Stegostoma tigrinum: one gene and its partners. The protein of the gene in region 1 purifies or fractionates together with the protein of each later gene. This does not show direct contact. Links are inferred from orthologs where the notes say so. Each region holds a gene or a part of one and is shown on either strand. Other genes may lie near its edges. The genes, in order: map3k4, growth arrest and DNA damage-inducible protein GADD45 beta-like and growth arrest and DNA damage-inducible protein GADD45 alpha-like.

Region 1 (8,546 bases):
CCTCAATTTTTCAGCAAGTACTGCTCATTGGTTTCCTTTGCTCTCTTCTCAGCTATCGAATTTCCCATGCAGCTTCAATGAGCTGCCCGCTCAACAAAACCAACTGCAGCACTTTAACCTTTTGAAGCCACCTTCTTTTGTTGCTCCTCTCTCTCCAACACAGGCTCTGTGGCTTTCCACTATCTTCTTAGCTCCTCAACACCTCTTCCAAGTCCTAACTGCCTGGAGACTGCTAACAACTGCACATTAGGCTACCTCCCACAACTCCTAAGTTTCTGAATGATTAGCAGCCTGAAGGTAGCAAAAGCCTTCCCCTTTAACTTCGTCTGGCCAAATAAATGGGTCCCCGACTTCCTTTTGCATGCTCCTCAGTCCTATGGTCCCTTTGTTATATCAGTTTCCACAATGCAGGTGCATTGTTCCCTTTATGACCAGATTCTTTACTGGACAAAAAGATCAGCAGATCAAGTGAAATCTGTCATGCTGCTGCTCTGTGCATGAATTAGAACTCATGGCCTACTGGGATATGGAGATTGACTTCTATTTTTCTCCAGTCCTGTGCGGGGCTTCTGCAAAACCTGGCAGAACCTCAAACATTTAATGCTGCTGTTCAGAACAGTCGTCCTCCTCATTGCTGGCTTGAGACAGCATTTGCATCCCAAGCTGTCTATGAGAGGGGTCTATTCTACACAGAGCAGAATTTGGACAAGGCTGCGCTCTGACAGGAACCTCCATTGTTAAATACATCTTCACCATCTGTTCCACTCATCTGTTGTGTTGATTCATCCTCTGTTAAACCAATTAACTTTGATTGCACCAAGTAGTGTGTACAAGAGCTGACAGAAGGTGCATACATTGCACTATGGTTCATAAATAGTGTGAAGTATCTCCTCCTGAGTAAATAGAACATAGAACATTACAGCACAGTACAGGGCCTTCGGCCCTCAATGTTGCCGACCTGTCATACCAATCTGAAGCCCATCTAACCTACACTATTCCATGTATGTCCATATGCTTATCCAATGATGACTTAAATGTACCTAAAGCTGGCGAATCTATTACCGTTGCAGGCAAAGCGTTCCATTCTGTGAGAGATGGAAAACTTGAATCAGAACTGACAAGGTGACTGGCTGTTATCTTAGTCAATGAGTGAGTGAATGTTGTTGCCATGTAGCAGTGTAATGTATAATTCTGTCACCAGGTAACTTGGAAACCCTCCCCTCTTCATATCCTATGATCAGCAATGCTGGGAGTTGACTTATTAACAATATCTTCTCCTCCTCTAGAGCTGTCAAGATGGAATTAACTGTACACACATGCCTGATTTTCTGCCTCTCCCAGATATTCTGTGCTCTCTTCTGAAAATGAGGAAGAACAGACTGATGAATGAGAAATGAAATGCTGAGGTGATGAATGGTCTACTTCTATGCCAATTTTGTGTTTTTGTAGATCCAGGTCAATATTTATCCCTCAGTCATCATCACAAAAAACAGATTACCTACTCATTATTGCATTACTGTCTTTGGGAGATGATGTGTATAAATGGGCTGCTATATTTCCCACATTACCCTACAAGTTAAATATTCAAAAGGATGGTTATGTTGAGCAAGCAGATAGGGTTAAAATCAAGCCTGCTAATTGGTTTGGTTATTTGGCTTGGGATTGTGGGTTGTTACATCTAAATGAACAACAAGAAACAATTTATATTAATAAATGTGAATTGTTCTGAAGACTCTACGTTAATTTTGTTTCTCTTGTGGATGCTACCAGACATGCCAAGGTTCTCCAACATTCTCTGTTGTTTGAGATTTCCAGCATCTGCAGTACTATGCTTTTATTACAGTAATATGTCGGCTTTAGGAACATTGGGACAGACATAGGGAATTTAGCCCCTTAAGCCTGTTTCAGCATTCAACCGGTTTATTGCTGATTCACGATATAACACCTGTGGAGAGACAAAAGAAAAATAGCAGACATTGACGTCTTTGTCCAGAGAATCTAGCAACTGCATTGTATAGTCTAAGTCAAGAGGCTATGAAAGGTAAACATTTGGTTTTGTTATTGTAGACAATGCCTCCTTACAATGGTGAAATTATTATATTCTTATCTGTAGCAAAATAAATCTTCCTTACAATAATGATCAATTCTTGAACATTTATGGTTGCCCAACCCAGCTAATTTCTGCTCTCCAGCAAGGCATGGAGCTTGTTGAAGGGTCTGAAAAACATTGGCTTTGGGCTTCTCATCTTTTACTGAAGGAAATTGCTATTCATCCAGGAGTGAATGGTGAATGTGCAATGTGACAATAGAGAGGGCTTGATACAGTTGGTGGTGAGATAGAGCTGGATAAGCCTCCATGAATTAGATCTATCATGAATCATTTGTTAAGCTTCATTTTAACATTTAAAGACATGGCTGTGATTATCCATTTTCATTTAATTTTGTTTCAATTCTCTACTTTGAGTTTGCTGCTTTCAAAACTTCATACTTTGCATACTTATTAACAGGCCTGCATTTTCCTAGTTATCTCTCAACTTTTTTCGAACGTGCCCATCACATTGCTTACATGAGTGTCAACAGGACAATGCATTTTCAGTTACTTTAAATCCAAAAGTTTTCAGACAGCAATGAAATGTTCCATAAGGATGCTTTTCTTCTCCAGAACTGACCACATGGGAGTTTCTGTTCCTGGAGCCATAGACTGAGAAAAACACAAAAGTCTAAACAAAACTGTATGGCTCTGCTTCAAAATGATCATTCCTTCACAGGAAGGATGAATCGACGATGGATGAGGGCAGCATGGTTGTAAAGTGGTTAAGCACTGCTGTCTCACAGCACCAGGAACCTGGGTTTGAGTCCAGCTTTGGGTGATTATTTGTATGGAGTTTGCATGTCCTCCTCTTGTCTGCATGGGTTTCTGCCGGGTGCTCTGGTTTCCGCCCACAGTCCAAGGACATGCAGATTAGGGGATTGGCCATGCTAAGTTGCACCATTGGCAGCATCCTAGGTGGATTAGTCAGTTTAAATCGAGGGGAAAGAATGCTCTTTGGAAGGTCAGTGCAGACTCACTGGGCCGAATGAACTCTTCCTACACTTTAGGGATTCCATGAGAGTGGCCACAAATATATCCAATCTCCCCGATTTTTTTTCTCTAATTTCGTTATTTGGTGATAAAGAGCAGATAAATTAGTATCTGGCAACCTTCTTTTGTACAAGTCTTTAATAAGTTTTAAGTTTATTTCTATTAGGTTCAGTTAGTCTACATTGATATGGTTGGACACCTCAGTCCATTTAATGCATTCTTGTTTCATGTGCAAAATCTGGGATATTCCTCAGGGTATAGAATGAGATGCCAGAGGAAGTGTTAGAGGCTGGTATGATTACAACATTTAAAAAGCATCTGGATGGGTACATGAATAGGAAGGGTTTAGTGGGATAATGGCCAAATGCTGGCAATGAGACTAGATTTATTTAGGATATCTGCTCAGCATGGACGAGTGGGACCAACGGCTCTGTTTCTGTGCTGTACATCTCTGACTCTATGATTGGATGAACACATCTTCAAGAAGTGTGGTCAGCTGAAGCAGCTCAAGCTCTGGGGTTTCAGAGCTTGAGCAGCAGCTTATTTCTCTGCAGTACATCTGTGAAGTTGGATTGTATGTTGCTGGAATATCACCATCCTGTAGCTTGGGTGGACAGGCAAAGAAGGAATGGTCAGGCGATCGAGTAGGACCAGAGGGCAGACTGCATCTTGCTTTCCAAACAGTATTCAAATCAGAATACTGATGAGAATAATAGTTGATCTGGAGCACAGTCAAGGCCACAGCACCAGAAGTAGCTAGCTCAAGAAAGAAAATTGGGAGCTGATACTGTCAGGGATGTCAAAACGAAATTGAATAGGCACCTAAAGATTTTTTTAAAATGCAGCTCTATAGAAGGGAGGGAGTGTCGTACAGCTGAATGACTTCACTTTGCATCATAACCCATCCTGTTAATTACATATTTATTTTGTACTACCAGACTTTTCTAGCAACACCGTATTCTCCCTCATTCAGAGCTAAGTGAAAACAAAATTGCGCAGCTTTCATTGTACGGGAGGATAGTAACATGTATTTCACTCAGGTTGTATACGAGTGGCTGTAACCGTCGCACTTGGCAGCAAAAAGCTGCAGCTGGTTCTTTCTCACAAGTTGGTGTCTGAATGACCAGCAGAGCCTGACACAGTGACACCAATTACCATATAGAGGAGGATTGCTCTCCACCAGCAAACACCGCCCCCCCCCCAACCCCTTCCATACAAATCAATTCATTTATGAATCATAACCCCTTCGTCTGGAACTTACATGAAATAAATGACAAAAATTGCTGGGAAAACTCAGCAGATCTAGGAACCTCTGTGGTGAGAGGGACGTAAAATTAACGTTTCGAGTCCAGCCACACTTCTTGGGAGGTTAATTACTTTGATTTTTGAAACGGCGGAAGCTTCCCTTCTTGAGGCGATTTACATAAAAACAACTCATGACGGTTGGAAAAAGTAGGCAGCCGATTCGTTTTATTTTTCTGGAAAAGAAAACCGTTGATCTGTTACTTCCCACTCAAATAATTTCAGTGAATTTATATATTAGAGTTGGTATACTTCAGGTCAGGACAATGGAAAATGAAAATAAAGACTTGCGCACACCTGGAGGCAGTGTGTTTTCAGTTGTTGTCTGTCCGTTCTGCTGCCCTCTGCCGGCCGTAGCCGGTTGCCGTAGTTACCACATACCGGTCCCAAGATGGCCGCCCCGGTAGCAGAAAGGCGCCTCAGTGTTGGCTGATGACTCGGTCCTTACAGCTCGCAACCACTGGGCGGACTTCCAGCATTTATTTCTCTCCCCCGCCTCCGGCCTCCAATTAAAAAAAAACTTGCAGCCTTTCTATGTTTTGAAGACGACAGCAACAATAACGCGTCATGGCGTGCACTTTGTATCACTAGACTACCGATATGGAACAGTCCGAGCTGCAGCCGCCTCAAATGCAAAGGTAAAAGGGAGCGATGATTAGCGGGGAACAAGAAGGGCCAAGTGTTTTGTGTACATTTAAGCGAAAGGGGTTTCGAGAGTCAATCGAGACGGGAGGGGTATGTGCAGGGCTGCAGACTGGGCCGCAAGCAGCTTCTGCCAAATAGTGCTTTCACACTTAACGTTGGACCGCAGCCCCCGCGCTTGCGCACAGCGACCCTCAGTGCTTCCTGCCACATTCTGCACAGAGGGCAAAAATTCTGCAGCTTTTAATTTGCACCGTGAAAAGGGGGAAAACTCTGTGCAACATAATTTTAACTTTTTGCATTGTGTAGAAAAGTGAACGAGGTCACCAATGCATACAGGTATTATCGGTATAAGTTTTAGTTAATCGCAGAAAATTGTGGCAAGTAAGCGAGTTTCGTTTGGGAAAATACAATGACAATGGTGGTGGGATTCTGCAGTGAAACAAGAAACGAAATTAGTGCATAGAACTAAATGCTCTGCAACAGCTATGCCGTAGTTCCAGGAAGACATCTAAATCATTGAGCTGGTTGGTAGTGGAAGTGTTACAATACTTAATGAATTCTCCTCGGTCCACTGATAACAAAGGAGTTTAGCGAAAGGTGCATCAAGTCACGCACAATGTGCCCGAAAATGTACGAATGCAGTTCTTTTTATGACAATGTTTGGGGTTTATCAGCACCCAAAAATAACCGTTTGAAGAATAGTTACAGACTCTACTTGCAGAGTGAACTTATGGCTGATTTGGAACTGTATCGGAGTTTCTTAACTGGAGAAAGTCCGGCAGATCCCTCCACCCCCTCTTCACAGAAAACCGTCTCTAGAACTGCGAAGCCATGCTAAGATTTTAAAGCTTTCCGAACCAGAGCCCTTTTGCCCGCCTAATTCTGAGTTACACAGGACTGGGTGCATGGAAAATATTTTTGTTTTTCCACCTTGAGTTAAAAGCCTTAATTGGTAACCTTTAACATTTGTAGTAGTTTTCTTTCATCCCAAAAGCTAGACAGCGACCTGAATGTCTATTGGGCTCTTTTGTGTACCAGGGTTGTTTTGAAACATTTACCCCCACCGTGGAGCATCTAATACAGCAGTAAACAACTTCATTGCGGGGATGGTTTCAAATAAACAGCACGACGGTGGGATGTACGAAATTATCCAAATCTTTAGGGCTTTTACATGCAAGAACCGTAATCTCCTGTTCACTGGAGTCGACGGAGTTGAAAAGAAAGGCAGATTGGGTATTTTGTGGACGTTGTGTGGGTTGCTCGTTTGTTGAGAAATCACCTAGTAACGTAAATTCTGGGAATAAAATTCTAAATTGAATTTTTGAGTGGGAGTTTGCGACAAATGTAATGCCGATTGAGAACAGAATCTGGGAATGATTTTCCTTACAGAATGAATTAATGTGAAAGTACCTTTTTGCAGTATGATTAGCTCACTTTGCTGCTATCCTTGTTTGTCTGGAAACTTGAATAGCAAATTCAGGAGAGCTGTTGTGCCGATCGGATGGCGGAGTTTTTCAAGCTGCGGTTTGAATGTACTTTAAGGGCAGCGCTACATTTTCCGGAATATTTTGTTTTTCTAGGGTGCGGCCGTTTCGTTTGCAATTTAGTACGTCTAAGTAATGTGCTATATGTTTATTCTGGAATTGAGGATGACTGAAATTTGCGGTGCAGCGAGGCTTGTGATTAGCATGATGCGTTATGACTCTAACATTTCTGACCAATTGTTAGCACGCGAAAGGCCAAATTATTTCTAATCGATTAGTTTTCTCAAGTAACACAATGTTGAAATAAATCTTCCCAGGACTTGCCCTGAAATTAACTTCTGCCCTGGAAGAGTGAGATGGGTGTAATTGGTGAGCGGTAACTCATCAAAGTGACAACTTTTGTAACTCTGCCCAAATTCTAGATACGTAGAATTTTCCGTTTTTTTTTCTCAAGACTGGAGTCATTGTCTTCACTCCCTGCCACAGACTCTTCTGTGGCTGAGTCCGTCTTTTTCTGTTTGAGGCTGAACCACTTCGTGTCTCCTCTCATCCTGAGCTGAGTTCCCAACCCCACAGCTGCTTCCCTCAACAAGGCCCTCTGCTGAAACGCTCATCATGTCCTTGTTACCTTAAGTATTAAAGTATTAAAATGCTTCCCTTGCTTGCGTCCTTCATCTTAGCTTCCGTTGAGTCCTGTTCGAGCATCCTCTAAACTCCATTGGCTCCCCTTCCGTGAAGGCCTCAATCTAACATTTTCCCTCTCGTCAAATCCTTACACCGCGATGGCGCTAAACTCTTTCAACTGACTGAAACATATGAGATCCTGAGGCGTCTTGACATGGAGAATGTGGGATACACGTTTTAGAATCTAGAACTAGGGGTCACTATTTCGAAAGACGGGGTTGCCCATTTAAACCATGAGAATTTCTTTTCTCAGTGTGTCTTGAATCCTTGGAACTCTGCCTCCACTTTTTTTGTGGAAAGAGACTGAATATATTTAAAGCAAATGTAGATATTTAATATGCAAAGGGTAAAAAGTTTAGACTGGAATGTGCAGTAATCAGGTCAATAATCCTTTATTTTACTGACTGTCGCAGGCTTGAGGGGTGGAGTGACTCTCTGATTAATGTTTTCTACATCCTTTTGAGATGTTTGCTCTCCTTCAGTTCTGGTTTTATTTTTGTTCCTGATTTTCATGTGCCCCCAACAGTTATGGCTGTTCCTTCAACCACTGTGGGCTCAGATTTTGAATTGATTCTCTACACACTCCATCTCTGTTTACTGCTGAGCTTGTAAGATTTGTGTTTAAACTTAACACTGACCAGGCTTTTAGTCACTTGTTCTGTTATATCTGTAAAATTGTGTTCCATGAGATTCTCATGAAGTGCCTTAGAAATACAAGTTGTTGTTAGACTGGAGTTTGGGAAATGTAGTTTGATGCAGACGGACTGAAATTGTACTAGCTGGAAGCATAATCAGATCACAGTAGATTACCGACTAAAGATCTCCCTGCCCTGCTTCCTGAACCACTTGTCAGCTGAGGTGACTTGGAACTCTATTATGAAAATTCCACATTCATTTGCAAATAAAATGCTAGACTGACCGTTGGATGAATCACCTAGGTATTCTTTTTCAGTTAAGGAATTAGTTTATAATATTACGGTTGTGAACTCCAAGCATTATTTAGTTAATAGCATAATTGTCTGTCTGGGTCCCATCATGTGAAGCCACTCCTTGTCATTATGAAAATGGAAGGACCTTTTTTCTCTCTCCTCATTTCTTCCTTTGTCATTCAGTTAGAAAAATTGCGTGTGAAATTTCCCAACTCCTGATTTTTATCCCCTTCCATGATTCAATGGTCATATGAATTTTTTACCACTCCATTAGTCTACATTTAGCAAATTAACACAGAGGATTAAAAAGTACATTTTTGAAAGAAATCATTTGGTTTTCATAATCTCAGCTGGTCTCAAGGCGTTTTGCAGCATTAAAGTTGTGAAGTACTTTTGTAGGTGAGCCATCTTGGGGAGTGT
Region 2 (8,303 bases), on another chromosome or scaffold:
CAGCAGGCCAGGCAGCATCAGAGGAGCAGGAAAGCTGACATTTTGGGTCTGGACTCTTCTTCAGAAATTTGAAGAAAGGTCCAGATCCGAAACGTCAGCTTTCCTGCTCCTCTGATGCTGCCTGGCCTGCCGTGTTCATCCAGCTCCACACCTTGTTATCTAGGATAACTCCTTGGCTCTTCTTCAAAATAGTGCCACAGAATACTCGACTTTCAATGAAGAGTGCATTGGTTTACTGTCTCATCCAAAAGCAAGTGCTGGATTCACAATCTGAATTGTATGATTTGACTGCCTTCAAAGAAAATTAATTTGTATCAAAATTCTCAAAACATTGACTTCACATTGCTATTAGTGCTATATTAAAGGGATTGGTTAGCTCAGTTGGCTGGACAGCTTGTTTCTGATGCAGTTTGATACCAACAGCATGAGTTCAATTCCTGTACTGGCTGTGGTTACAATGAAGGATTGTCTTCTCAACTTTCACCTTCCTGAAATATGGTGATCTTCACCAGTCATCTCTATCTAATGTGAGAGTAGGACTATAGCAACATCACCTTTTACTTTAGTGCCATGTTGGCAAAGGCCAACAGATGCAAAGTAAAAGAAAGATCCACAACTTTCCCCCCGCAGTGGTCGAGAACGCCCTTGACCGCGTCTCCCGCATTTCCCACAACACATCCCTCACACCCCGCCCCCGCCACTACCACTCCCAGAGAATCCCCCTCATTCTCACATACCACCCCACCAACCTCCGGATACAACGTATCATCCTCCGACACTTCCGCCATCTACAATCCGAACCCACCACCCAAGACATTTTTCCATCCCCACCCTTGTCTGCCTTCCGGAGAGAGCACTCTCTCCGCTACTCCCTTGTCCGCTCCACACTCCCCTCCAACCCCACCACACCCGGCACCTTCCCCTGCAACCGCAGGAAGTGCTACACTTGCCCCCACACCTCCTCCCTCACCCCTATCCCAGGCCCCAAGGTGACCTTCCATATCAAACAGATGTTCACCTGCACATCTGCCAATGTGGTATATTGTATCCATTGCACCCGGTGTGGCTTCCTCTACATTGGGGAAACCAAGCGGAGGCTTGGGGACCGCTTTGCAGAACACCTCCGCTCGGTTCACAACACACAACTGCACCTCCCAGTCGCAAACCATTTCAACTCCCCCTCCCATTCTTTAGATGACATGTCCATCATGGGCCTCCTGCAGTACCACAATGATGCCACGCGAAGGTTGCAGGAACAGCAACTCATATTCCGCTTGGGAACCCTGCACCCCAATGGTATCAATGTGGACTTCACAAGCTTCAAAATCTCCCCTTTCCCCACTGCATCCCAAAACCAGCCCAGTTCTTCCCCTCCCCCCACTGCACCACACAACCAAGCCAGCTCATCCCCTCCCCCCACCGCATCCCAAAACCAGTCTAACCTGTCTCTACTTCCCTAACCTGTTCTTCCTCTCACCCATCCTTTACTCCCACCTCAAGCCGAACCTCCATTTCCTACCTACCACCTCATCCCGCCTCCTTGACCTGTCCATCTTCCCTGGACTGACCTATCCCCTCCCTACCTCCTCACCTATACTCTCCTCTCTACCTATCTTGTTTTCTCTCCATCTTTGGTCCGCCTCCCCCTCTCTCCCTATTTATTCCAGAACCCTCACCCCATCCCCCTCTCTGATGAAGGGTCTAGGCCCGAAACGTCAGCTTTTGTGCTCCTGAGATGCTACTTGGCCTGCTGTGTTCATCCAGCTCCACACTTTGTTATCTTGGATTCTCCAGCATCTGCAGTTCCCATTATCACTGAGTTCTTAGCAGTGCACTTTATGAAGGATATGACCGCATTGGAGATTGTGGGTAGAAAAGATTCAGGAGGATGGTTCTAAGAATACATAAATTCAGTGGTGAAAACTGATTGGAGAGGTTGGTTCAGTTTTCCTAAAAGACTGAGAGGAGATTTGATAGAGGTATTGAAAATCATGAGGGTTTGAGACACTGCAAACAGAGAGAAGTTGTTCCCACTGAAGAAATGAAAGAGAATAAAAGATTTAAAATAATTAGCAAAGAATCAAAAGTGACATGAAGGTCTTCTTCAAACAGTTAAGCTGGAATTTATTGCCTGAGAATGAGGTAGAAGCATTCAAAAATGAATAAGACTGTAATCTGAAAAAGAAGAAACACAAGGTTACAGCGAGATGACCAAAGAATAACACTACGGGAATCACTTGTTTGGATAGCCGAGTAGACATAATGGGCCTAATAGCTTCCTTCAACACAGTAAAATTACGTGAATCTTCGATGGCTGCGTTATCGTGAACATTACCACCAGGTGGAGCAGTGAGGGCACACCCTCAGGAACCCGACATTGCAGTGTGACATTCTGAACCAATGATGGAGAGGTACATTATCAATGTGTTTTGTGTTTATATGGCAATAACTGATGAAAGAAAGAATCGTTTTGAAGCTTCTACCTGGACTGATAAATTACAGAACAAATTGGATAAAGAGGTGAAAGATGAAAGTGGAAGAGAGGGCCCACTCCAATCGGTTAACATGATGTGCAGGTCCCGGTGTTGGACTGGGATGGAGAAGGTCAGAAGTCACATGACACCAGGTTTTCGTCCGACAGCTTTATTTCAAGTTTTCTGGCTTCTTCGTCACTTCACCTGATAGATATTTTTAATCAACTTGTTCAGACATGTTCTGACATGTTATCGACACACTTTTGGAGCAGGTCAGATCTGAACTCTTTTGGCTCAGATAACAAAATGTGAGGCTGGATGAACACAGCAGGCCAAGCAGCATCTCAGGAGCACAAAAGCTGACGTTTCGGGCCTAGACCCTTCATCAGAGAGTGGGATGGGGTGAGGGTTCTGGAATAAATAGGGAGAGAGGGGGAGGCGGACCGAAGATGGAGAGAAAAGAAGATAGGTGGAGAGGAGAGTATAGGTGGGGAGATAGGGAGGGGATAGGTCAGTCCAGGGAAGACGGACAAGTCAAGGAGGTGGGATGAGGTTATTAGGTAGGAGATGGAGGTGCGGCTTGAGGTGGGAGGAAGGGATGGGTGAGAGGAAGAACAGGTTATGGAGGCAGAGACAGGTTGGACTGGTTTTGGGATGCAGTGGGTGGAGGGGAAGAGCTGGGCTGGTTGTGTGGTGCAGTGGGGGGAGGGGACGAACAGGGCTGGTTTTGGGATGCGGTGGGGGAAGGGGAGATTTTGAAGCTCAGAGTTGGAGAACTACCACTACATCACTAGAGTCCTCCCTTCATTGACAAAGTATCTTTCATCACCTGTGGACCTCTCAAATCAGTTTACAACCAATGAAGTACTTATGAAGCGTAATCACCGTTGTAATGTAGGAAGCATTAACTTTTGAAATGTTGCATTTCAAGTCATCGTTACTTTAAGTATATTCATTTATTTTGAAACCTTATAATGTGAATTGGTCTTCGAACTGGCAAAACGCTGCCCCTAAATAACATGTGTGAAGCTGGATGAACTCGTCAGCTTTTGTGCTCCTGAGATGCTGCTTGGCCTGCTGTGTTCATCCAGCTTCACACTGTTGTCTTGGATTCTCCAGCATCTGCAGTTCACATTATCTCTGCCCCTAAATAACATGATGTTGGAAAGTTACAATTTGTATGGTGCAAGTTATTCGTTTTCCTTCAGTTGAACGCCAGGTGGAACCAGTGAACTCATGTCAGAGGGAGTAGCAGGCAACAAGCTCGCCAGACGGCGCCCTTTGATTAGTTTTAAGGTTGCCCATTGTACGTATATTTATTTCTGATTTTGTTTACAAGCTGTGTTCGTTTTTCTTAACGACTTTCGGGGTGTGGAGAGGCCAAGGAAGGTGCATTGTTTGGAATTCCAACCATTTCTGAGGTTGTCTGTAATTTCACAAAGCACCAATCCTATGAGTTTCAACATGTTAACATACGACTGAACGTTACATGTGAACATACCAGATCTCTGCAAATGAATAGATTCGAAGAATAGATACAGTCACGAATACAACGAAGATGTTGATTGCATCTAATTTTCCAACAAATTTAGTGGCAGATATGTTTTTCCTTAATCACAGACTGCCCTAGGTGCCAAAGGATACCCGTAAACAATCAGGCTCATTGCAAAACTTCCCAGAAACGAAGGCTACGGCTGTACACAGTGACTTTGCAAAGCATTTCCTAATTTTCCCGTTTATTTTATATCTGTTCACTTTTGGAAAGTGCATTTAGCTGCTGCAGATAAATTATTGCTTGTGTAGTATATGATTTGTTTATGCGCTCGGCGGTTGGCAGGCGGAGTTTCCACTCAACTGGAAAACTTGTTACGTACGCGAAATATTCCCCGTCGGAAACTAGAGAGAAGAGAAACAGATTCTATTTCCAACTGGTTCTATTTGCTTTTAATCTCGGACTGAGTGTACTATTAAGAAGTAAAGTACATTTAGTTATGTTTTGAAATTTAGAACAGCGAAGCATATTACATTTCCTGGTGCACCAACCAGGGCAGTTTATAACAGCCGTTACACAAGATTTAATATTTAGTGTCACCTGCAATCCACACTCGAAACCTGCAAGACAGTGTGCTGCACAAAACTTCAGATTTTGATCTCGCTCAATAAAATGACATTCTTAAAAATGCAAATTGATGCAAACTTATGAAGCTTGTTAATGTCTCAACCTTTTTCGCCAAGAGCTTGCAATTAACTTCGAACAATTTGAGGCAATTATGACAATTTGCAGACAAGATGTTTTAGCTCAAATATTAAATGCAAAAAAAAGTTTTGAATTGCATTAAGTTGGCGATGAATGCGGCTGTGTGACTAATAAATAGTATCAGGGCTCTTGGATGGGAACTACCAGACAGCTCAGCATTATCATTATCTAATTTTACATTGCAACTGTGTGGTTTTATTCTAGAAGATTCATTCCAATACGGACACGACTGGCAGCTTCATAATGCCTTGTAGCACGCGAAACTGAGTCATCGAGAGGGAGAAAAAAATACGAAGGGAGAGAAACAAGAAAATTCCCAGAAAATACGCCATCTGGGCTCCCCTGTGGAGGACGTTTAATATTAATCGCCGGTCGGAAGAGCCAATCGCGAGAGCCGTATGCAGATGAGCCGGTGGGCGGCATGTAACCTTTTAAAAGCAGTGAACGCCGCCGAAGAGTCGCAGAACGAAGCAGAGAATAGAGTGCAGTGTCGTTTGAATGCGGATCTCGAGCTTTGGAGGATTGTTACAGTCAGTGGTAGAACGTTACAGCGAAGGAGACTTATCACTGGAGTCTTGAACCCGAGGGCTGTGTTTTTTACCTTGGATTTAATTACAACAACATGACTCTGGAAGATATTACTGGAACTGACAACACTAGCAAAAAGTAAGTTGCTAGAAAATCGATCGTTTGTAGTTGGTCTTAATGAGATCAAGCGGAAAGGATCGCGTATAGATAATCTATATCCGTAGGTTATGTAGTTTGCAGACTCTATTTTTTAAAATGAATATGTTGTAAGTATATATATTTTCATCTCTATCCAGAATGCAGCCAATTGATCAAGCTTTAGAAAAATTGTTGGTGACAGCACAACGCCAGGGCTACCTAACTGTTGGGGTTTACGAGTCGGCGAAGTTAATGAATGTGTAAGTATTGAACGGTTTTTTTTAACCTTCATAACAACTGGAACTAGTTGCGAACAACAACTTAAAAACTGCGATTTAGCATCCATTGACTTTCAGATTTTTGTTGTGCATCGTGATTCTAATCGCCCGTTCTACTCCTGTCCCATATGCAGTGACCCGGACAGTGTAGTCCTGTGTCTGCTGGCGGCCGATGAGGAAGATGAAGGCGACATCGCCTTGCAGATCCATTTCACCCTGATCCAGGCTTTCTGCTGCGAGAACGACATAAACATCGTGCGGTTGCGGGGAGTCAAGCGCTTGGAAGAACTTCTGGAGTCTGGGGACGAGACTGCTGAACCCCGGGACATGCACTGCATGCTAGTTACGGTAAGAATAGCCTGTTTCTTCCCTCCATCCCCGAGCTACAGTGCGCTGCAAAAATCTACGGTGTAGACACTATTAATATCTCTCCGACTTAAACATTGTAATAGTAAATAACTTGTGCATCCGAGATCTCTAACGGCATCAATCCGGATCAGATTGCTAATCTTTCTTCAAATTGTTACAATGGTATTTAGTCGATTCTGGCATTTCAGGGGTTAATCTTGCAATTTGTCGTAAAACGAAACGACAGCGTTTGGGCGGGTACAACTGACTGGAATTGACGTGCTGTTGTCGCTGACGCGATGTTTAATCGGGTTTTTTTTCGTTCTATTTCCAGAACTCTCATACTGATGTTTGGAAATGTGAGGCGTTGGAGGAAGTCGGAAGCTATTGCGAGGAAAGTAGAAACAAGAACCAGTGGGTTCCTACCGTGTCCCTGCAAGAACGCTGAAGGTTTCAAACCAGCTGAAGAAAAGGAAGCTGAGAAGAAGCGTCTTTAATTAAATGAGAAATGTATGCCGTTTTCTTCTACAAAAAGATGCGGGTGGATGAGGAAAAATCATGTTTGCAAAGGCATTTTTTTGTTTTATTTTTTAAAAAGAGAGAAAAGGTAAAGAAGACGGCATACCCGGCGGAAACTTGGCTGTTTTTTAGAGCGGCGAGTGGATTGCAATCCGCTCCCGGAACCGAGAAGACAGCTGCAGAGGAGGAGCTGGACTGGAGGTGTCGAAACCCGATTTGGAAATGGAATGAAGGAGAGATTTTCGAAGCAGGGCTCTTTTGTATCTAGATTTTTTTTGATAATAGACTGGACTGATGCAGAAAGTGGAAGAAAGGATCTGTGAAGACTAGAGTACAACAGGACTATAATCCTGGTGTGGAGGATAGATGGACGGTTTTGTTTTAAACAGTGGTTGGCCGGCCGGCCTCGCCCCCTCTCCATGACTGATGGAGTCTTTTATCCGCGTCCTACTGCAGGCGGAACGTGCGAGCTTGCACTGGAACTGCATTTTGGAGCTGTTTGCATTTCTTAAAGGGAGCTAGCTCCCCCCCACACGAGTTACCTGTACTGTTTCCTTTGTACACCAAGGGGATTTGCAGCAAATGTTAATTGGACTGTTGCACTTAGCTTCAATACTGGGATGTTTTGCATAGAACCCCAATGTTATGTAACGGGCATCGTGCAATTTAATTCTAAACTATTGATCTGAAATGTAGTATTTTTCAGCGTCTTATTTATAACGTTGTGATTTCCTCTCTTTTTTCTTGATTTATGTAAAAAAACCTCATTTCTATTACATTACAATAAATATTTTAACATTTAAAAGTATATACTCGTCTGACTTTTTTCTCCTTGTCATAACATCCACTGCTTTGGAGAAGTGGGATGAAATACTTGATTTTTTTTCTTAATAGTTGGCAGCAAACAACACTTTGAAAAGCTAATTAACAGCTCAGGATTGTACATGCCTGGTTTAGAGTTTGATCATCAAAAAAAAACACCAAGCTTTTACTGTTTCAGTCTGCCGTTTGACCTTTGGATACGCAAAATTAATCAGATTTTCACTTTTAGCCATGTCAAGAAAATTACAACTGTAGTTTTGGCAATGGAGGCCAGATTTTTGTCAAAGCTGCTCTGTTTGATTCAAAATTTAAATCAATGACTTAACTGCAGCTTCACACCTTCCTGCAAAGTGAATTAATGGCTTCATTTTGTAGACCATTTTAATTCCAGTTATAACTTTCCCAATGCACTCCTGATTGGAGTTGTGGGCTTCTTGGTGTTTCAATATATAGACAAGAATCCTGTAGTTTAAAGGTGGTGGGAACAGCTAATTCATCAAGACACCTTCATGTAAATGTATTTGCTTTTGAATTGACAAAGCAGATGTATTGGACTTCAATGATTCCTGTGTTCAGCCAACTCCCAATGGGAAGCTAAACTATAATGTATTAATGTTACAATTTGGATGTGGAATTGGTGATGGTGTTTGGGACTCTCAACAAATAACAGCCTTCTCAAGGAGGTACTCATGATGCAAAGCTGGCTCCAAGGTATTTTCAAATTGTAGCAGAAAAAAAGCAGTCACTAAAATATCACTTCTGTACAGTTGTTTTGACTGTGAAAATAAAACTGATGGTGAGCAATTTTTCTGATGAGCAATGCAGAGCCAGGAGTAAATGTTAAGTATGTTGCTCTACTGTTTTGAAAATCTTTGGGTCACAGTCCAAGTACCTGTGAATATAGATGTGTTTTCCTGCATGATAATTGTTAACTTATTC
Region 3 (7,721 bases), on another chromosome or scaffold:
ACAATTGTGAGCCACCTTGACCTGCAAGAGAGTTGTGTGTAACGTCCCTAAACAGGTTAATTAGATATCTATCAGTGCATGTGATTTCATAGTTGAATTATGGACAGTGTCAAGAGCTGAGAACTGGATGTGAAGATTACAGAATGTTAAGTGTGTGAGACTGAGTTGAAGCTGTAAAGGAAGGTATGAGTTCTAGTTGAGAAACAAATTGCTGCTCGGTGATTGATGTATTAGAGTTGAGCAATATCTGAATCTCATCATTCTATTCTAAGGATATGGCATGTGATGAAACATTCATTGACCTTGAGCACTCATGAGATCATTAAACCTTTTCCTACATCTCATCTAGATCTTTGGGATGCATTGTTTGACAATATTGACAGCACTGGCTATCTGGTTGCACTGCCATCTCCTCCTATGCACCTTATTTGCCAAATTCTTTAGTGTTAGGTTAAACGCCCTTGAGTATACTGTCTGCTCTGCTTCCCCCTTGAAGAGGTGCTGACTGGCTTTTGACTGTGCAAGCCACCTTTTGAATAGTGCTAAGCATGCATAAATTTGAATCCCTTGTTGCGGTGTCCAGCCTGTCTCTGAGAACCGTGGTACAGTTATTTAAGTGGGCATGAAGAAGGGAATAATAGTTGGAAAATTCTGCATTGGAAAATCCTAGAAACATTCTGGCCATGCAGTTTCAATGGAAAGCCATAGATACATTTGTTCAGATTGGTGATCTTTTGTCAGGGTTCTGATGAAAGATAATTAATCTGAAATGTGAATTGTACTTTCCTCTCCAAAAATGCCATTTGAACACTAAGCATATTTTTATCCTCAACTGACCTAGACACAAGCAATTCCAGTGGTGGTTACTCAATGATCAAAATGAAGACACAGGCTGATTTTTTTTTTCCATCTCTATTCCAGTGGTTCTTTGTAAAACTGGAAGAGGAGTTGCTACAATTGAGCACAGTCAGTTAACTCTCATAGACTAAGTTGAACATGCAATTGCTGTTACAATTATTTGCAATCTTGACAATAGTAGGAAATATTCAGGATGTATAGCTGTTGGATGTTGTGTGTTGTATATGTGTAGTAGGATATCAAATTGCCAAAATAGTCACTAAATAATAAACTACTGCACTGATATGTTACTGCATTTTGTTTTGATCACAAGTTCGGCTGAGTTCTGAACTCACCTGTCAAGAGCACTGGTGCAATTTTAACACTGCTCATCTGTACAAACTGACAGAAGGAATAAAATGTGACTTAAAATACTGACAATATACCCCAATTAAACAGGCTGAAATCAGTCCATTGGCAATTCCATTGTATTGTATTGCAAACTGTTTCCAATTAAAACAATTCAGTAATATACAAATTAAAATTATCTATAACAGACTAGAACATTAAATAGCTAGTGAATAAAAGTAATAATATTTATTAATGGATTTAGAAATTATAGTCAATTCTTTCACAAATATAAATAATCGTCAATTTATATAAATTGTGAAATAACTTGTCATTTCATATTTAGACAAAACAGCAAAAAAGGTTTTTGTAATAAAGTACAATTTTGTAAGTAAGTACAGTAAAAATCCTTAACTTATTCGGTTTTGGTTTTTTAAACTTCCCCTCAGCTCCGTGACATCGTGTAATTAGTCAGCAATACTGCATTTTCACAACAAAATTCAAACACTTCTGTTATCCATTCGATGAGTCTGTCAAAACACAAGTTTTTTTTTAAAGTTCTAGTTCCCGAAATGGAAGCTGTAATTCCCGCAATTCTTCCGGCAGTTCTATTACTCTCAGCTATGAAATCAGTTCCAACCCTTGCTTCGGTTCCCGTCTGCTTAGTCATTGTCACTATTTCCAGGCACAACTCAAGTTGAGTCATAGTCCAGCGTTCAGAGAAAATAATTACAGACAATCGAAAGTCCAGTCTAGCCTGCTCTCAGCAACAAATAAAAACTCTAATTTTCCAGCGCCAAGTTTTCGGACAGCTACTGAGAATATCTCCTGAGCAATTCCTGAGAAACAAAAGCGAATCTTAAATCCAGGGTCTGTGATTTAAAATTGATCACCGCTCGGGCAGGTTGATGATTGGAACCCACTGGTCCAAGTAACGACTTTCTTTGCAGAAACAGCTGACTTTGCTCAACGCTGCGTCTTTCCATGGTGCAACTTGACTCTGAATTGAAGACAAATAAAATCATCCTTATGGAACAAAATATTTTAAAAAGTGCATCATTTAATTCTCACCGCCCCCTTCTTTCCAAAATACTGTACTTGTAATCTCAAATCATGATGTTAGCTATTCTCTAACTTATGCCATCTATTGGTGCAAAAAGACATTACGTCAACCACGACCACATTTACATCCAATCACAACAATCAGTTGAGTATCGGTATATACAGTTTCGTCTGCTTCTAGGGGTCCAATTGTCAACTTGCAATAACCTAGACTGATTTCAGTCACCGTCTGTAACTCGTTTCATACTGTCTACAAATAACTTTATTTAAATCCTCACAAAGGTAAGATTTCTGTCATTGTTTAAAACTGATGACGGTTTTACGCCTCGGTTATTGGATTCGTTCCTGGTGTGACTAGTATAATACTTACAGTGATCAATATGCAATGGAGATCTTTGGGTTCGCCTGCCCCATCAATCCCGCCCAAGATCTCTGCTAGACGGTGCATGTTGTTCACTCTCATTATGTTAATATCGTTTTCGCAGCAAAAAGCTTGGATCAGAGTAAAATGAATTTGTAAAGCCACATCCAGATCATCCCCTTCATCCGTCGCAAGCAAGCATAAAACAACGTTGTCAGGGTCCCTGTCGAAAAGTATAAATAAAATCCGTCCGTTTTTAAACTGATTTTTTAAAAAGTAAAAATGTGAAAACTTTGGTTCTTGGTGGATACTTACGCGTTGAGGAGTTTTGCTGCTTCGTACACTCCAACTGTGATGCAGCCTTGCGCCAGCGCGGAGCTCAAAACTTCTTCCAAAGCTTTTCTCACTACGTCCATCCTACCACCCGCATCAGAAGTTTTAAAAAAAACAGTATTAATTCCTTCATCAATAACAACAACAGGATCTAACTCCAGAGATTAACAATTCTGCGTTATGGTTGTGTCAAATGAATGCAAATGTATGTGCTTCATCTCACAAAAAATTCTACTATGACAGGAAGATTAAACTTCTTTTAACCGACGCACAACGCAAACCAAGAATCTGCACCGCACGCTCAATCAAACACTGTTTCACTTTTTAAAAAAAAGATAGGGTTTATTTAAAGTGCAATCGGTGCGCTTTATAGCATTGCTTTTACCTGTCTGCTTTCTGATCGCCTGTAAGTTCTTCAAAAGTCATTCTGTTTGTCGGTGTGAATGAGTTTCTCAGGTTGCTACAGCTTTCTCTGCCTGCAATTGACAGTGCCTTGCGTGCGCTAGTGGGCTCGATCCAGCTCAATGCAGCGGCTGCTGTCAGCTCCGGCACTGAGAAGGCTCGCGGCGTTGAAGGCGGAGTTACAGCCAGGGGGCCGGATGTAACAAGGGAAAGCCAACCAACCCAGTGCTCGCTTATTTGCATGGGCGCTCCGCCATTGGTCGTTGTCCTTTATGCTAATAAGGACTTTGCTTTCACCCTGACCCGCTGGGGACAAAGGGTCAGCCCTGGGGGAGGTGGGTTTTGTGGTGGGGGGGAGGGTTGGAGCGGATACCGAAGCGTGTCTGTCTCGCAGCTCACTGGGGCGGTCGACACATCAATCAATGCTCATTCCTCATTTCGGTATCCATGTTTGGAAATTGTAGGATTGCCCGACGAAATTATTCATAGAAGCAAAAGCCTTAATTCTTTGTTTAACGTCAAACGTGATATTTAAAAAAAAGTCCACTATGTGTAGATACAGTAAACAAACCTCCACTGCAACGTCTATCACCAAGGACAAGGGCAACAATGTTAAGGGAACGCCAACACTTCCACATTCAGTTCCAAATCACGTCATCTGTAATTGCGCGTTGATAGTCATTCCTTCATCATTGCTGGTTCAATATCTTGGAATTTCCTACGCTTTAAATGTAGTCAGTTGACTGTAAAACACTTGGGACATTCTAAGGTTGTGAAAGACACCAAGTAAACACAAGCTTCACTCGTCGTCTCCATCTCAGGCAATCAGCTTGTAACTGATGTCCATTTCAAGCCCACTGACTCCCACAGCTACCTAGGATACACCTCCTCCCACCCACCCTCCTGCAAAAATTCCATCCCCTATTCCCAATTCCTCCGCCTCCGCCGCATCTGCTCTCACGATGAGGCATTCCACTCCCGCACATCCCAGACGTCCAAGTTCTTCAAGAGCCGCAACTTTCCCCCCACAGTGGTCGAGAACGCCCTTGACCACGTCTCCCGCATTTCCCGCAACACATCCCTCACACCCCGCCCCTGCCACAACCGCCCAAAGAGGATCCCCCTCGTTCTCACACACCACCCCACCAACCTCCGTATACGACGCATCATCCTCCGACACCTCCGCCATCTACAATCTGACACCACCACCCAAGACATTTTTCCATCCCCACCCTTGTCTGCTTTCTGGAGAGACCACTCTCTCCGTGACTCCCTTGTTAGCTCCACACTGCCCTCCAACCCCACCACACCCAGCACCTTCCCCTGCAACCGCAGGAAATGCTACACTTGCCCCCACACCTCCTCCCTCACCCCTATCCCAGGCCCTAAGATGACTTTCCATATTAAGCAGAGGTTCACCTGCACATCTGCCAATGTGGTATACTGTATCCATTGTACCCGGTGTGGCTTCCTCTACATTGGGGAAACCAAGCGGAGGCTTGGGGACCTCCGCTCGGTTCACAGTAAACAACTGCACCTCCCAGTCGCTAACCATTTCAACTCCCCCTCTCATTCTTTAGATGACATGTCCATCATGGGCCTCCTGCAGTGCCACAATGATGCCACCCGAAGGTTGCAGGAACAGCAACTCATATTCCGCTTGGGAACCTTGCAGCCCAATGGTATCAATGTGGACTTCATCAGCTTCAAAATCTCCCCCTGCCCCACTGCATCCCAAAACCAGCCCAGCTCGTCCCCTCCCCTCACTGCATCACACAACCAGCGCAGCTCATCCCCTCCCCCTACTGCATCCCAAAACCAGTCCAGCCTGTCTCTGCCTCCCTAACCTGTTCTTCCTCTCACCCATCCCTTCCTCCCACCCCAAGCCGCACCTCTGTTTCCTACCAATTAACCTCATCCCACCTCCTTGACCTGTCCGTCTTCCCTGGACTGACTTATCCCCTCCCTACCTACCCACCTATACTCTCCTCTCCACCTATCTTCTTTTCTCAATCTTCGATCCACCTCCCCCTCTCTCCCTATTTATTCCAGAACCCTCACCCCATCCCCCTCTCTGATGAAGGGTCTCGGCCCGAAACGTCAGCTTTTGTGCTCCTGAGATGCTGCTTGGCCTGCTGTGTTCATCCAGCTTCACACTTTATTATCTTGGATTCTCCAGCATCTGCAGTTCCCATTATCTCTCTTCACTCGTTGTGCCCTGATTGGAACACTCAGTGTCATTATCATCAAGCAGACTGACCACCAGGGTCAGTAATGTGGAAATTAAACATGTTCCTGCCTGTATCACTGCTGTTTCAAGAGCATATTTTAAGAACATATGTAACTGTTGACAAGAATGTGAGCATATATATTTCAAGTCTGCATAATCATCTCAGTACAGGTGTAGAGCTGTAATACAAATATCAGTTACAAATAATGCATATTCAATTATTGCAATATATTAAAATTTCATTATCAATTCTACTCCACGTAAAGTAATAAGTACAAGCCTAATCAGTTCATTTTACAAAGGAGCATGCATTCAGGTTTCATCTTTTCCATCAAATCAGAATGTGCCAAAGCATTTTGGAGCGCAACCTAGGCGCAATGTCGGGTATTGCAGCAGCCAAACTGCACTCATGAATGTCTCATTAATAGCAGTGCAATTAATGAACAAATGATCTGTTTTAGCAATGTAAATTGAGACACGATGGGCAGGTGCCCATGTGGACTGGGGTGGACAAAGTCAGAAGTTTCACGACAACAAGTTATGGCCCAACAGGCTTATTTTCAATTACAAATTTTCAGTATGCTGCTCCTTTGTCAGTCCACTATTGACTCTGTATCCATCACTCTAACATCAATGTAATTCAAATCCAAATCAATTGTGCAAAGAAATGTTTCCTCATGTTGCCTCCGAATTTTTGTCAATCATCCTAAGTCTGTACCCTTTGATTACAGACCTTCCAGCCAATCGAATTAGTTTCCGGGTCTCTCTCTGCTAACATATCCATTTAATTGTGCTATTTAGCATCTCTCTTCTCATTTTTTCGACCATAATGTATCATCTCATTGCTTTCTGCATTGAATTGTATCTGTCACAAGTCTATCCCATTGAATTCTACTATTATCTTAACATTTATAATTCTTCTAAGTTTTGTGACATTTTCAAATTTCAAAGTTACATGCTATAACTTTAAATCAAAGTCACTAATAAATATTAACAAAATAGTGACCTTAAATACAGAATCTTTGGAAAAGTACTGTATACCTCATTTCAATCTAAAATACCGCCATTTATTTTAGGTGGATTGGCCATGCTAATTTGCTGATCGTGTCCATGGATTTTCAGACTGGGTGGATTAGCCATGGGAAATGCAGGGTTACAGGGATGGCAACCACCTACAAATTGATGTCCATTTCAAGCCCACTGACTCCCATAGCTACCTGGAATACACCTCCTCCCACCCACTTCCCTGCAAAAATTCCATCCCCTGTTCCCCATTCCTTCGCCTTCGCCGCATCTGCTCCCAGGATGAGGCATTTCACTCCCGCTCATCCCAGATGTCCTCGTTCTTCAAAGGCCTCTACTTACCCCTGCAGTGCTCGAGAACGCCCTCGACCGTGTCTCCTGCATATCCCGCACCTCGTCTCTCACACCCTGCCCTCGTAATAACCACCCAAAGAGAATCCCCCTAGTCCTCACATACCACCTCACCAACTTCCGCATACAACGCATCATCCTCTGACACTTCCGCCATCTACAATCCGACCCCACCACCAAAGGCATTTTTCCCACCCCACCCTTGGCTGCCCTCTGGAGAGACCACTCTCTCCGCAACTCCCTTGTCCGCTCCACACTCCCCTCCAATCCCACCACACCTGGCATTTTCCCCTGCAACCACAGGAAGTGCTACACCTGCACCCACACCACCTCCCTCAATCCCATCCCAGGCCCCAAGATGACTTTCCATATCAAGCAGAGGTTCACCTGCACATCTGCCAATGTGGTACATTGTCTCCACTGTACCCGGTGTGGCTTCCTCTACATTGGGGAAACCAAGCGGAGGCTTGGGGACCGCTTTGCAGAACACCTACGCTCGGTTCGCAGAAAACAACTGCACCTCCCAGTCGCGAACCATTTCAGCTCCCCTTCCCATTCCTTAGACGACATGTCCATCCTGGGCCTCCTGCAGTGCCATAATGATGCCACCTGTAGGTTGCAGAAACAGCAACTCATTTTCCACTAGGGAACCCTGCAGCCCAATGGTATCAATGTGGATTTCACCAGCTTCAAAAATCTCCCCTCCCCCCACTGCATCCTAAAACCAGCCCAGCTCATCTCCGCCTGCCTAACCTGTTCTTCCTCTCACCTATA

What was found.
Region 2: the proteins of map3k4 (region 1) and growth arrest and DNA damage-inducible protein GADD45 beta-like purify together in Homo sapiens (co-immunoprecipitation; 3 studies listed by BioGRID and IntAct, counting the BioPlex papers as one, with this or other methods). This does not show direct contact. The link is inferred for Stegostoma tigrinum from reciprocal best matches to the Homo sapiens genes MAP3K4 and GADD45B.
Region 3: the proteins of map3k4 (region 1) and growth arrest and DNA damage-inducible protein GADD45 alpha-like purify together in Homo sapiens (co-immunoprecipitation; 3 studies listed by BioGRID and IntAct, with this or other methods). This does not show direct contact. The link is inferred for Stegostoma tigrinum from reciprocal best matches to the Homo sapiens genes MAP3K4 and GADD45A.

The regions. Positions count from the first base shown.
Region 1 is NC_081362.1:25,392,900-25,401,445, reverse strand, and holds the start of map3k4 (mitogen-activated protein kinase kinase kinase 4), read left to right. Parts: upstream 1-4,754; 5' UTR 4,755-4,984; coding exon 4,985-5,022; exon of another isoform or gene 5,023-5,184; intron 5,185-5,250; exon of another isoform or gene 5,251-5,365; intron 5,366-8,546. UniProt on the Homo sapiens protein: Component of a protein kinase signal transduction cascade. Activates the CSBP2, P38 and JNK MAPK pathways, but not the ERK pathway. Specifically phosphorylates and activates MAP2K4 and MAP2K6.
Region 2 is NC_081383.1:7,331,029-7,339,331, forward strand, and holds growth arrest and DNA damage-inducible protein GADD45 beta-like, read left to right. Parts: upstream 1-5,170; 5' UTR 5,171-5,353; coding exon 5,354-5,397; intron 5,398-5,555; coding exon 5,556-5,657; intron 5,658-5,809; coding exon 5,810-6,023; intron 6,024-6,357; coding exon 6,358-6,471; 3' UTR 6,472-7,350; downstream 7,351-8,303.
Region 3 is NC_081361.1:51,756,370-51,764,090, reverse strand, and holds growth arrest and DNA damage-inducible protein GADD45 alpha-like, read right to left. Parts: upstream 3,500-7,721; 5' UTR 3,368-3,499; coding exon 3,327-3,367; intron 3,026-3,326; coding exon 2,924-3,025; intron 2,832-2,923; coding exon 2,618-2,831; intron 2,530-2,617; exon of another isoform or gene 2,245-2,529; intron 2,186-2,244; coding exon 2,075-2,185; 3' UTR 1,418-2,074; downstream 1-1,417. UniProt on the Homo sapiens protein: In T-cells, functions as a regulator of p38 MAPKs by inhibiting p88 phosphorylation and activity.